2 linked regions of the Mytilus edulis genome follow. The protein of the gene in region 1 binds, or shares a complex with, the protein of each later gene. Links are inferred from orthologs where the notes say so. Each region holds a gene or a part of one and is shown in the gene's direction. Other genes may lie near its edges.

What was found.
Region 2: DNA replication complex GINS protein PSF1-like (region 1) and DNA replication licensing factor mcm4-A-like share a complex: the UniProt entries of both Homo sapiens proteins name them as parts of the CMG helicase complex. The link is inferred for Mytilus edulis from reciprocal best matches to the Homo sapiens genes GINS1 and MCM4.

Annotation. Positions count from the first base shown.
Region 1 is NC_092352.1:54,417,298-54,423,635, reverse strand, and holds DNA replication complex GINS protein PSF1-like, read left to right. Parts: upstream 1-4,936; 5' UTR 4,937-5,009; coding exon 5,010-5,600; 3' UTR 5,601-5,688; downstream 5,689-6,338. Other genes in the region: prolyl 4-hydroxylase subunit alpha-2-like, read right to left, coding at 1,847-2,019. UniProt on the Homo sapiens protein: Required for correct functioning of the GINS complex, a complex that plays an essential role in the initiation of DNA replication, and progression of DNA replication forks.
Region 2 is NC_092348.1:46,351,525-46,359,057, forward strand, and holds the start of DNA replication licensing factor mcm4-A-like, read left to right. Parts: upstream 1-4,345; 5' UTR 4,346-4,433; intron 4,434-6,355; 5' UTR 6,356-6,385; coding exon 6,386-6,473; intron 6,474-6,926; coding exon 6,927-6,962; intron 6,963-7,533. Other genes in the region: malonyl-CoA-acyl carrier protein transacylase, mitochondrial-like, read right to left, coding at 382-602, 2,432-2,519, 3,417-4,070. UniProt on the Homo sapiens protein: Acts as a component of the MCM2-7 complex (MCM complex) which is the replicative helicase essential for 'once per cell cycle' DNA replication initiation and elongation in eukaryotic cells.

The DNA of each region.
Region 1 (6,338 bases):
TGGATCTCGAAAATCTACTAACTCAGCCAGTCAAAGCAGAGCATATTTATTTACATGTACAAATGTACATTGTATACATGTATAAATACCTATCTCCTGAAAATGCATGTTCTATTTTCGTCTGGACTAAAAGATACATAAAATTGAGAATGAAAATGGGGAATGTGTCAAAGGACAAAAAACATCTGAAGGCCACAAGCATTCACAAGCGGATCATCAACACAGCAAGAAAATTATACACCCGCAGGAGGGCTTTAGCTGGCCCTAGATAAAAATGTGTACTTCAGGTAGTTTAGTGAAAATTGATGTCATGCTAAACTATCTACATGTACAAATTAATCCTTTAACTCAAAGATAATCTTCATTATATCAAAGATTTATTTTCCAAACCATTGTCTTTTTACCAATCCTTTTATCTACATTTTATCAAAGTCAACATTTTCCAAATCATTATCTTTTTATCAATCCTTTAATTTATCTTCATTAAACTAAAGACAATATTTTCCATATATATGCCATATATAAATATAAATCTTTTTATCAAAAAGCCATAAAAAATTTATACTATGATAATCCTTTGATAATACATTTTTGTACATGTATCAAGGAGCAAAAATCTTAAATTAAACATTTTATTGCATGCAGCATATTGTTCTTCAACATTATTTTAAAACAAAAGTTACTAAACATTGCTAAAAGTGTAGAGTGTAGCAGTTTTATTGAAATTTCAACAAAAGTTTTATACTTTTATTACTATTATTTGTAAAAACTAAAAGATGCAGATGTCTTCTTACAATGTATATAAAATTAATATTTTTATTGCTTATGGTAACATTTGGTGTTCAAACTCCTACAATAGTATTTTCCTGTTCAATGAGCTTGGTTATTTGGAGCGAAAAATATCAGATAAGAAACATGGAAAATAGTACCAGGCGCGGATCCAGAGGGGGGGTTCCAGGGGTTGGAATTCCCCCTTTTTTTGGACGATCAATGCATTTGAATGGGGACATGTAATTGGAACCCCCCCCCCCCCCTTTGTCCTGGGTTAGAAACCCCCCTTTTTAAAATGGCTGGATCCGCCCCTGAGTACATCCTGTTTTCTGCTTAACAAAATCAAAGCAATATACATATGGAAATTTACAAACCTTTTGGATCAGATACAACTATAAATGGAGCAATTTTATCTTTAAATTGGTATTTTACACCTACATGTATTACTGAATATTATGCAAATGTTTGGGATAACATTTTATCTGACAATATTTTACATGTACATTTTTTGTAGTATTAAAAAAATAAAAAAAGGAAAATTTGATATGCTTGTCAATGCAATGAGACAACTATACATGTACAGGTCACTAGCTAGTGACCAAGGATCAACATGAATAAGGGATGAAGACATGGACATGTCATTTTGGGATACCCATTTATTCAATTTTATTTTTACAAAATGGAAGTAAAGGTCCTCTTTAAAAATCCTCTTATGAACATGAGGAATTGTCAACTTCTAACCAAAATTGTTTAATAATATTTTATGAATTTAAATAATTTAAAACTTTAAATGACTTTTGTACATCCTTTCGAATATGAATCTAAAAAAATTGTAGAAGAATTATCTTAAAACAATCATAAAATAACTCTATTTTGTATCTACCAGTACCACACAATCGAATGATCAGCTATATAGCCATACATCAAGACATGTCAAACTGACAACCTACAGGACTAGATACAAGCTAGGTACAAGTGTACTAGCCTCAGTTAATCATATAAAGTCTGGTGGCTATTATTATTATTATTAATGTATATATTTTAGTTTTATTAAAATAAAAAGTGGTATTCTCACCTAGAGAGTGCATCCAATCTTTGTTTTTCTTCTCTTACATATTCTTTTATTCTTGAAGAAATTTCTCTCTCTGCAAATAAAGCTCTTTCCATGTGGGCCAAAGATGTAAACAGTTCACATCTAACAACTGATGCCACGCAAATAAGCAACAACAAATACCTCTGATTTGTCATTGTTCCTGAGTTAGTCTTCAAAACTTTGTTGTTTATTTTTTAACAATTTGTTTAATAGTGAATGACAACTTCAGTACCAAGTAACATGAAGGGTCTGAGAAATCACCAGAAAGTTCCACGTTGGATGGTGGCTTACGTGCACAAACTCTTGCGTAGAATCTTCAGGAATCTACACACACACACAACATCAAAGAGTGCCCCTTATCAAATTACATTTCATTGATGGGCTATTCCATTGTTGTAGGGAAAACAGGTGTCCCTGTAGATATATGATCATATATTATGAAACAAATCAAAGAGGTTTATAAAGATTGAAAACGTCAAAAACAGAGAATTTTTAATTGCATAGATTTCTTTTGTACGTGCTAACTGATGCACAGTAAAACAGCTTTATTTAAAAATCACATCATTTTATTAGCCCTGGGAGAAAATAATTTTCCAAAGGTCATGTTGATATCACGTGATTACCTCTCGGTCTGGGGTCCTAATCTACGCTTTCAGTCGGCGGCTAAGAAGTGAGTTAGGATCCCAGTTTAATTATTTGTCGGAGCTCCTCGCACTTTTTCATTGTTTAGAACCATGAATGATTTGATAATAACGGTCTCACTAATTAGCGACAACAAGCGTCAACAAGCGACAAGAAGCGACAACAAGCGTCAACAAGCGACAAGAAGCGACAACAAGAATTATTTTAACGACAACAAGCGACAAGAAACTATTTAGCGACAAGAAAACATTTTTTTTTAATTAAAATTAATTATTGCAATAAATATTAAAAGAATATGCAAAAGAAAATAATTTTAGCGACAAGAAAGTTAAAATTGATAGAAAAAAATGAAACATTATTTACATAATATTTTATCATCTATTATGAATAACAGCCAGTATTACGTTTAATTATTGTATTATGAGATTACTTTTCCTTGTGTTTTAGAACAAATTATTTATTTTATAATTTGTTTTTTAAAACTCTAGTCTTTTCGTGCAATATATATTAAGCTCGCAAAATGAATTATTTGTGCATCATTGTCCTGAAAATATTGACACAAATTGTGAAATACAAAGAACTGAAATCAAACAGGAGGAAAAGAAAATTGAAATGTGAATGTTTTCATCTTTTTATTTGTTTATTAATGCCTCATTAAACGATATTTATCATGTTTATGCATATTGATTGAAGATGAAAGGAAATTAATGACAATCTTGAGTTTTCAACAGGTATTCACTATTTACAATGATTGTATATTCTGGCGCGTGTAATTGTATAGTCTGACGCGTGTACAAGTTGAAGGTGTTAATTGGATGTTATTATAGCAATAAAACAGGGGACACGCGACTCGTTAATCTCGTTTGATGTTCCACATTGTGTGTACTGTTATTACCTTAGGGTGAAGCCACATCTAATGTTGTTCCTATCAAGAACAATGAATTATACTGTTAGAAAGGAAATAATATTTCATGTTTTTGTTTCAATAAATCCTTCAAAGGAAAGTTGACCTTTTTTTGTTTTTGTTTCAATTTTATAGCGTGTGCATTTCCTTTGCTCTACCAAGCTGACTGAAGCCATTCAACTTTTATGTTTAGTATAAAGTAAATTGTCAGCATTTCAGTATTATTCTAGCAAAAGTACGTGCTCTGTGCAATTGCTAGTATCTAAAACGCAACTCGGTTTACCTTTGATTAATAAATCAGTTACTTTGTACGTCTTTGATACTGCGCGGTATCAAACGAACCCTTTGGTACAGGGTTTCAATTTCCTTTTGGGCAAGGGAAAAACTTCGATAAATGCATATTAGAAGTATTATAATTATACTATAGTGGACACGTCCGTTCATGATATCCCCTTGGGCAAGGGTAAATATTGAAACGCACTTATTTTGTCACATCGCCGTGTCAAACTGAATCCCTTGGGATAAGGGTTTTCCTCTTGAGCAAAGGAAATAGTAGGGAAGTTATACCTTTGGTTGAAGACAGGGTTTCTAGACAAATATTAAATGAACAAAGCATGATTATTAAAGAAAGAAACCCTGTCCAAGTCTCAACAAATGGCAATTGTCTCTTCAATTCTTTGTCAGTGGACATGTGTGGCAATGAAAGTCTTGCAACAAGACTGAGAGTTTTGACTTGTATAGAGATGGTGTCAAATAAGCTAATTCACAAAGAAATAAAGTTGCAAGAAAGTCTTGTCAATGGCGCACTTTATGGACATGGAGACTTTGAGCTAAGCTCCTCAGTAAGCCATTTTCAATGCACAAAAGCTCTATGGCAGATTAAATCGGAGAAAGAAAAGGCTTTTGCATTGCAAAAATTCTTGACTCATGGGTCTGGAAACACGCTTAAATAATAAAGATGGCAAAGCGTGGCTGAGAGTTCTACAAATAAAGCATCGAATTGACATAACAAGAGTACACTTAGAGCATAGTATTAAGCAAATGAATCAAAATATTATATTCCGTTATGCCCGCTCCATATATATATCTCCATTCGTTTATTCATACTTTGACTTTGATGAAAACAGATACATACATTATCTTATACATATTCTTCATATTTAAAAATAAAAAAAAAAGAACCTCAATCTCTTTCTTTTTCACAAATGTTAAATTTCTTCATCTACCAATATACTAATATAAACTTCACAATCTCTTTCTTCCTCACAAATTTATGTTTCATTTCTTCGTCTATCTATATAATAAAACATTTTAATTAGACATATCTGCTCGTATATTTTAAAAAAAACATTAAATACAAATTTCTTTATATCTAATAAAAAAAAAATATGTTTTCTTGTCGCTAAATAGTCTTCTTGTCGCTTGTTGTCGCTAAAATAATTCTTGTTGTCGCTTCTTGTCGCTTGTCGACGCTTGTTGTCGCTTCTTGACGCTTGTTGTCGCTAATTAGTGAGACCCGATAATAAAATGTTCCGAGGGGAGTTATAAATGGCGGGAATTTAAGTTGATAAACAGTCACATACATTGAACATCGTAGAAATGTTAGCCGAAAAAGCTTTAGAGCTCATTGCTGAGTTACAACGAACAATTGATAGCACACTTGGTCCATATAATGAAGATACAGCCAGACACGTGTTAGAGGAGATGAAAGCTTTGTTTGAACAAAACCAGAAGGATGTCAGCGCCACAGTTGCTGGAGAAAATGGTTTGTTTTCAGGAGTACAACTTCGGCATGCTGCTTTGGAAAGGAATAAAAGGTGTCTTTTAGCATATATTTATAACAGATTACAACACATTAAGAAGATGAGATGGGAGTTTGGAAGTGTACTGCCTTCGGATGTCAAATTGAACCTAGGTGAACAGGAAGTTCAGTGGTTTGGAAAATATAACAAATTGCTAGCAAACTATATGAGGTCTATAGGAGACCACGGGGGACTTGATCTCACACAAGATCTTAAACCACCAAAAACTTTATTCATTGAAGTCAGGTGTTTGATGGATCACGGTGAATTTGAAACTCAAGATGGTAACATTGTATTGTTGAAGAAAAATAGCCAGCATTTTCTATTGAGATCTGAATGTGAACATTTAATTAGACAAGGAGTTTTGGAACATATTGTCCATGGTTAAACACTGTTGAATCAAGTTTATTTAATGTGCAATAAGCCAAAAGCAAGTGTGTAACTTTTATCAAATAAAATCAATAGACAATACCAGACAGTATTTGGATTAATTCTATTTCATTTAATGTAGGTCACCTGGCCCAATGGGTGAACTGATTAATATTGCCCTTATTGTTAGTTATTTTCACAGCTACATGTACATGTATGTCACAGAAACTCGGTTAACTATTAATTTTTTCCAAGGAATATGTCTGTTGATGGGTAAATCGGCTAATGCAACAACAGTATTAAATTCAGGGTTTTAACTTGACTATTGAATGATGAGAGCTATTGAATAATATTCCACAACATTAATACATGCACATGTTTATCAAACTTAACTGAATGTCGAGCAAATATCAATCATCAAATATGTATCAAGCTCAAATTGCCCAAAGTCTGTTAACATGTAGTGAAGTCTTTGGAAGGTCTGTCATAAAAAGTTGAGTCTCCAGAGTCCAAGTCATGCAAATAGCAAAACATATTGTTATGCGTTTACTTTTCTACATTGGCTAGAGGTATAGGGGGAGGGTTGAGATCTCACAAACATGTTTAACCCCGCCGCATTTTTGCGCCTGTCCCAAGTCAGGAGCCTCTGGTCTTTGTTAGTCTTGTATTATTTTAATTTTAGTTTCTTGTGTACAATTTGGAAATTAGTATGGGCCGGCCAGGCCATTCATTAGAAGGCGGTACCCGGTACTTTTAC
Region 2 (7,533 bases), on another chromosome or scaffold:
TCATAAATTAGGCCGTTAGTTTTTCTCATTTGAATTGTTTTACATTGTCATTTCTTGGACATTATAGCTTACTATGCAATATGGGCTTTGCTCATTGTTGAAGGCTGTACGGTGACCTGTCGTTAATTTTTGTGTCATTTGGTCTCTTGTGGAGAGTAGTCTCATTGGCAATCATACCACATCTTCTTTTTTACAGTAAAAAATGTTTGATGTCATTATGGAAAGATTTGAAAAAAGTACTGCCAGGAGTTACGTAGGAATAATGGATGAAAAAGGCAGAGGAGTGGAAAAAACTTTAACAAATGAATGGTAAGAAAATATTGATGTCTCAGTACAGAAACTATGAAGCTCATTCAAAATAGAGTAAGAACCTCTTTGTACCTCTTCATGTCCAGCTATAACTTTAACCTCAGGGAACAGGTAGCTGGCTATTCTACAAACAGGATCTTCTATATGATGTTGCTCCTTGCAATACTGTTTAGCAGCTTCTGTAGCTAGATTCAGTTTGGTTCCCCAGAAACAAAACACTGTCATCATTCCGCTAGGTGTCTCCTCTGAGGCTCTCTGCATTGCCTGAGCTCTTACTTTGACCACACTGAGGGCTGAAAATAGTGACAGATAATAGTTACTGTTATAAGAACTGGAAACTTGTTTTTAATATTGACAAAGTAAAGTCGTGTGACAATGACTGCCTTGTCTTGGTTATCCATTAGACAGCAATCTAATTACACAAATAGCAAATACAACATCACATTTAAAGGTTCACAAACTTTTTGCTTTTTGAAACTTCAGCAAGACAGCACCAGTCTTTATATTAAGGCAATATTATGTCTACAGCTCAAGATGTCCATTTTTAGCTGCTGATTTTTTTATTCAGTTAAAAATTTACACTTGCTTATCATGCTTATATACTAGAGCTGAATAATTCACCATAGATAAGGGTGACAGCTGGGAGATAAAGGGAATCACTCTTTGATTAATAGCTGTCTCATAAATCACGAGCATGTATATTACTGCACTCAAGGCACACAAGCTACATTTCTTTACCTCAATCCAAGTTTTTTCCAACTGAGATGGGATCTGAGATTCATGAAATGAAAACTAGTAAACCAAAGTAATAAGTTAGAAATCAGGTAACAAAATTGTTTCTCTCATGTTAAGATGGACTAGTACACATTTTTGTTTAGGGGCCCTCCTATGTGTTCAGATTTCTCCCTGGGTTGAAAATCCATTAGTGGCTTTGTGCTATTTTCTGCTCTTTGACACATTGCCGATTTTCATTCTTAATTTTATCTTACTTGAAGTAATAAAAAACAATCTTGACTTATATCTCTATATATTATACATTGTATATACTATATATAATATAAGATATAAAGCTAAAGGCTGACCAACGGACACTACAAATTATGGTATAGATGCTACATTGTAAGTGAGAGATGTGTGTGAACTTAGACGAGATTATCTCCCCCTAATAGAGTACAGTCAATCAAGAAATTATTGTGAGGTTTTTATTATTGTGAAAAATGCGAGAGAGTTGTAAAAGCAATAATTTAAACTTGCATTATGAAATATTTAATATAAATTAAACACAATTTTTCTCAAAATCATAAAAAATTAAAATCACATTTTAATCTAAAATGACAAAATCGCAATAATAAATGCAAGCAATAGTTTCTGAATTTTCAGTACATGTAACAAGTCAGGCTATCTTGACCATGCCCTTATTGCTCACTTTGTTTTTCTTTCTTCATTCAACATTTTCAAATTTTTAGCAGATCCTGTTTTTCCATTTTTTTCTGAGTCATTGATAATCAGAGATCCCTGTGATCTATTTTAAGATGGCACATTACCATTGTTAGACTTGCTACAATTCCCTTTCTAATATTTCTCTCTTACTAATTTATATGTTTACTGATAAGTGCCAGCCTACTGATTGCCCTTGGAGAAAGGTATAATATAATTGTAATCTCCTAGTTATAGCAGTAAAATTATTAAAGGGGCAAAATTGAAAAAATAATAATAATTAGGAAGGGACATGTAGCAAGTCTATACCATTGTCTAAAATCCCTTTCATGGTTCACAATCAATTTGACAGTTTTTCTTAGAAAAGATATGAAAATGTGTGATAATCAGGGTTATAAATGCTTGTTATGGGCCCTGTGAACTAAAGCCCAATAAAAGTTTACAGTAAATATATTCATAGCTGAATTATTTTGTGCTCTATTTAATCTAACTGGTAAATCTCGTCATTGCACGACTGTGACACTACACTACATGATGTAGTTTAGTGTCAGAGTCATGCAATGAGGAGGTTTATTAGTAGTTTTTTGTCAGAGTCATGCTATTTTAACTGTTAAAATAGAATTCAATTATTTAAGATTCTCATTTAAATAAACTATCTAATATATATATAGCTATATGTAAGTACCATCTTCAAAAGACATCATTCCAGCAAACACCATAGCAGCAAACTCTCCAACACTGTAACCAGCTGTAGCAACGGTATTCTCTATACCCTGTAATACAACAAAATCATGATATTAATGTACTTATGATATCAATTGATTTTTCCTATACATCTTTCATTCATTTCCCCATTTTCATCTTCTACACAAGAAATATTCTTCCAGCATGAACTGTTTTTACACCAAGGCTTATAGCAGGCAACAAATATTCTATTTTGTTTAAAATGGTCATCTGATCAACATGAAAAATTCTGCTGGCAAATATCTGTTTAAAACAATTTTGACTCACAACAGGCCACTTAAATGTACACATGTTACAGACCCCTCAACATGCTCAATAAGAGTTGTTGCAAGGGTTCTTTAACGTGCATAGTGCATGGTACTCCCTGAATATGGGAGCTCAGATTTAATGTCCCTGTCTGACAGTCAGATTACTCTATAGAAATGCTCAACAAATTTGCACAGCTACCACCATTTGTTACGCGTAACCAGGAAGGGGTGTTTGAAATTTTTTAACCCATACAATGTAGGTTCGTTCCAGTTTCCTGGGATTTGAAGAGCAATGTTAAAAGTTCTGCAAAAGTTAACCAATTGTGAACTTTCCATTTCTATGTACATGAGGTAGCAACATACCAGCAGCGCCTGCATACGAACTATACATGTATATCTCCCGCTTGATACGATATATTCCCCAAAATGTATTTCCTATCATGATTCCCTTCATGTAGGGTTGCTGCGCACATGGAAGCTATTAAATTTCCAAATGATCAAGTTCAAATCATCAATATCCCTTTGCACGACAGGTGCCACATGAGGAACAGGATCTGCTTACCCAGAGAATATATACAAATGTAACAATAACTGTAGAAATATTATAATATTTATAACTGTAATGTTGTAACACATTGTACATTTTGTATGTGTAAAAATCTTTTTATTATTGTTTACCTGAAAGTTTTCTTCTTTTAATCTCTCAATAGCTGCAACAGATGTCACAAAAACAGCAGGCTGACAATGTATAGTTTTATCTAGTTCTGATTTTGGACCATACAGACATAGTTTTAGTAAATCATATTTCAGTATTTCACTAGCATGGTCATATAGTCCTTTGACACCTGGAAAGGGTAACAATTGTTTACCCATGCCAACAAACTGGCTTCCTTGCCCAGGAAAAAAAGTAAATGATTTTGTCTCTGGGTCAATTTCGGGTCTTATTATTTGTGAATGTTTTTCATGTTCTTTTGATTTTTGATTGTCACCAACATCTGATGAAAAAGTCTCTACAAATCCTTTATCGTTATCTGAGTTTATAATCATATCATCAAGCATTCCTTTGACTTCAAGTGTGCCCTGGTTTTCATAATCGGATGTCCTTGCAACAGATCTCGAATGTGTTGAATGAAACGAATCGGTTTGTCGTTTCCTATGTCTTCTAGGTACATAACTTGCATCACTTGCAATGTCAACTGATGAAGATGGACTTGTTTGTTCGTCTGTTTTCTTGGAACAAAACGTCCGAAAACTGGTTAGAAACCTTGCATCAGAAAACAACTGTCTTTGTGCGACAAAGAAAATGGAGTCTCTTAACAACAATGGGAACATGGTCTTCAGTAAGTTGCTACACCTTAGTTATCAATCACTTATAAGAGTGACAATTGATGAAAATTTGGCCTCCATGTGCTCTTGTTTACAATCAGCTATCGGAAATGGGTCGTACTCCGAAAATGAGATTCACCTTTTTACGACAAATACTTTAGTATCATAAACATTAAAAATCGGATTCAAAAATTCATTTTTTTTTTGTTTTTTGGTCTATAATGGTGAATTCCTGTTTTCATTTAAACCATTTTTGCTAAAATTCGAGTTAGTAAAGAAATTCTTTTACCGGAAGTAAAGGGAAATATTTCCCGCGAATTTCAACACGTGACACCGACCCATCACAAAACAACGAAAAACACATCTCAGGTATTTGACAAACTTGACTTTAAAAATGCATACAATGATTATGAATAGCTTCTGTTGCTCATGTCATTTTCAAAATGCATTAACATATACTTATCATTATAGCTTTTACATGTTATCACATTGACATTGTGGTTATTTTTTGGTGTTTTGCAAAAAATGTATAAATTAAATAGCATTTTAAAACTTATCTTCCAGTTATCTGCCTTTTATTGTTTTATGATTACGTTTATATGTGATTGATATATGTTTCGGCACAGTTCTGCATGTATAATGTTTTGATAGGTTATTGATGTACTTTGTGTATCTGTCAGAATTTAGTTAAAGACTTAAAATTGACAAAAATGTGGGTATTTATCACAGGCACTAATGTCTTGTCTCCGAAAAAATTTCCTATATATCTTCTTCTTTAGGTTTTCAGTAGTCCTTCAATGATCTGAAGATTATTTACTGTTTGCGAGCGCAGCGTAGCCTATAATATATATATATATATTTACAAAGACAAAAAAAAAAATATTTGGAAATAAATTTGAGGTGCGTATATACCTTAATTATAACACAAGGTACTTTACTCGCATTTTTTTTAAATGTCAGTCAGTGGCATAATTCAGTTATGCTGATTTCTCGTTTGTCAACCCCACGAAAACTTGTTTTATCGTAAATCTAAATTTTATTATCTACACAATGGTGTATAACACGACTACTGTTATTGTCAGAATCATCCGTAGCAGTCCTACCCAAGTATGTCAATCGTAATTATTTCGTCTACCATGTCTACCGACGCCAATTTAGAAACACAAAACTTGCAGTGGTCTAAAAACAGTCACATGAACATTTATTGACAAATCTTGTGTATTGGAGGTAAGGGTAATGACTGTGCCTGTGTTCCATATGTCTATTAAAAACAAGATGCATTTGATATTTATGAACATTGATTTTGTATTACATTTCTCACTGGTTTGAAATGAGCTTTTTAATTTGATTGTAATTAAAAAAAAAAAAGTTGTATATTCTATTATACAAAAAAATGTATCAATAATTATAATCAATATTTAAAGAAAAATATTGAAAAAACTAACAAGGGAGATTTCTAGAAAACGTATTAATGACATAGTTAAAATAAAATTGCCATTGAACTTTCAAAGTCGAAATTTTGACATTTCAAATCTTAAAATCTCTGTGAGGGTAATCAATTGTTTTCACTAAGTGCGATAATTTCCATGGTTGCTTTTTTAACATTTTATTCCCTATCCGATGACATTAAATTATAAAACCTGAGGCGGGTACTCATAGCCTATGAAGATTAAATTGGCTTCATGTCCCCGCATGCGGGAATGTGCAGGCACTGCCTTATCTTTGATTGTAATGCTTCTTCCGCATAGTGGTCTGGCTGTAAAGGTTCACCCTTTTCCACCATTCCATGAAGAATAATTATTTATGATATGGACTTTTTTTGGTGTTTGTGAGTCTACTGTAATGTTTTAAAGATTGAGTTTACTTTTGGTTTTGTGCTGCTGATTTTTGCTGAAACTATGGCCTTTTGACTGAAAATTTCTATAATAGATTTAGCATTTTTTTCTGGACTGAAGGCCCTTCACATACATGAATATGTTGAGATAATTTTTAGAATGTTAGTCCAGTATGACAAGAAACAGGTCAAGATTATGTTTATGTATCACTCCATTGATTTTTGCCGAAATAACAGGCAAAAATACAATATACAATGTATGTTACTATTTTTTTCTTCTTAAAATTTAGAGTTTCAGCTCTGAAGAGGATGTTCTTTTAATGTAGTAATAGTTTTTGTTGTTTAATTATATGCAATATATCATGACTGCTTATTTCAACCCTTCTGTACAACTGTATCTATTTGTCTTGCAGATTGATCCTTTTTGTACAAATGTATCTATTTATTTGTCTTGTAGATTATAAAACTTTCCAGTTGACAACCCAATATGTCTGAACCATTGACACCTCGTAGAAGTAAACGGGGGAGGACATCAGAGCCTACTTCTCCAACAACAGATGAAAATGCTAAAACCCGTACGGTTATGTTGGAAATAGTTTGTTAATAACTTGTTTCTATGAATAAAACTTTTTAGGATTTTAATTCAGGAAGTTTGACAATTTTTTACCTGTTCATTATATATTTAGCATGATTAGTCTGTAGTGAGGGATCAGACAAGTTGCAAGATCGACACCAATAGAGTAACATTTGAACATGTATAACTAAATAGCTATTAATTGCATTCAGAAGTTTAGCTCTCTTTGTGTTCACTCCAATGGATGGAAACAACAAAATTAACTGAAGCTGTTGTGGAAATTGGTATTCAGAACTATTTTAATGTTACCTGCATAAAAAAAACAATCTATTTATTGCAATAAATATAATTACGATATGAGATACAGTTTGAAAACAGTATAATTTTTCTTCATTCTTACATTTTCTTCATCTGGTTAACGACACTAATTTTGATTTTCTTTGTTTATTTTTAGCAACCAGGAAAAGTTCAAGATCCAGTGCAACAACACGTATGTATATATTGTCGCATTATTTTTTGCTGCTATTGTTTCTAAAGCATTCAACATGTTAAAGCAGGGACATAAAAATGAAGAAAAAGAATCCACTGTTTAGTGTAAAACACATAATCATTAAGATGGTTTGAGTTTCTGTTGCTGGCCATATTTGAAAATGTGCCAAAAGGATTAGTGTCTGACTTTTTTTGTCCGTAGACAAAAGTTTTATAAGGTGAATCCAGAGCAGTCCCAAGAAAAAAATGTTTTTGCATATGTTAATTAACCAAAAAAATAATCTGTTGTAGTTAAGCAAATCTGAATATGGTTCTTTTGAACTCTAATACATAGCTATTAGAGTGAAATCTAAAATCTAAAAAAACCTACCAAAGCAATTGTTTTCAAACATGAGAGAAATTGACATTTCACAATGAAGAAACATCTAAAATGAGAGACAGTTATGGACAAATAAGACCAAATTTCAAAGCATAAACTTTAAGAAAAGAAAAAAACTACCAAAACTAGGAGGGAAGTCTGGTACAATGAAAAATGACTTGTCTTTTAAACAGTGAAAATAGTCTATGAAATG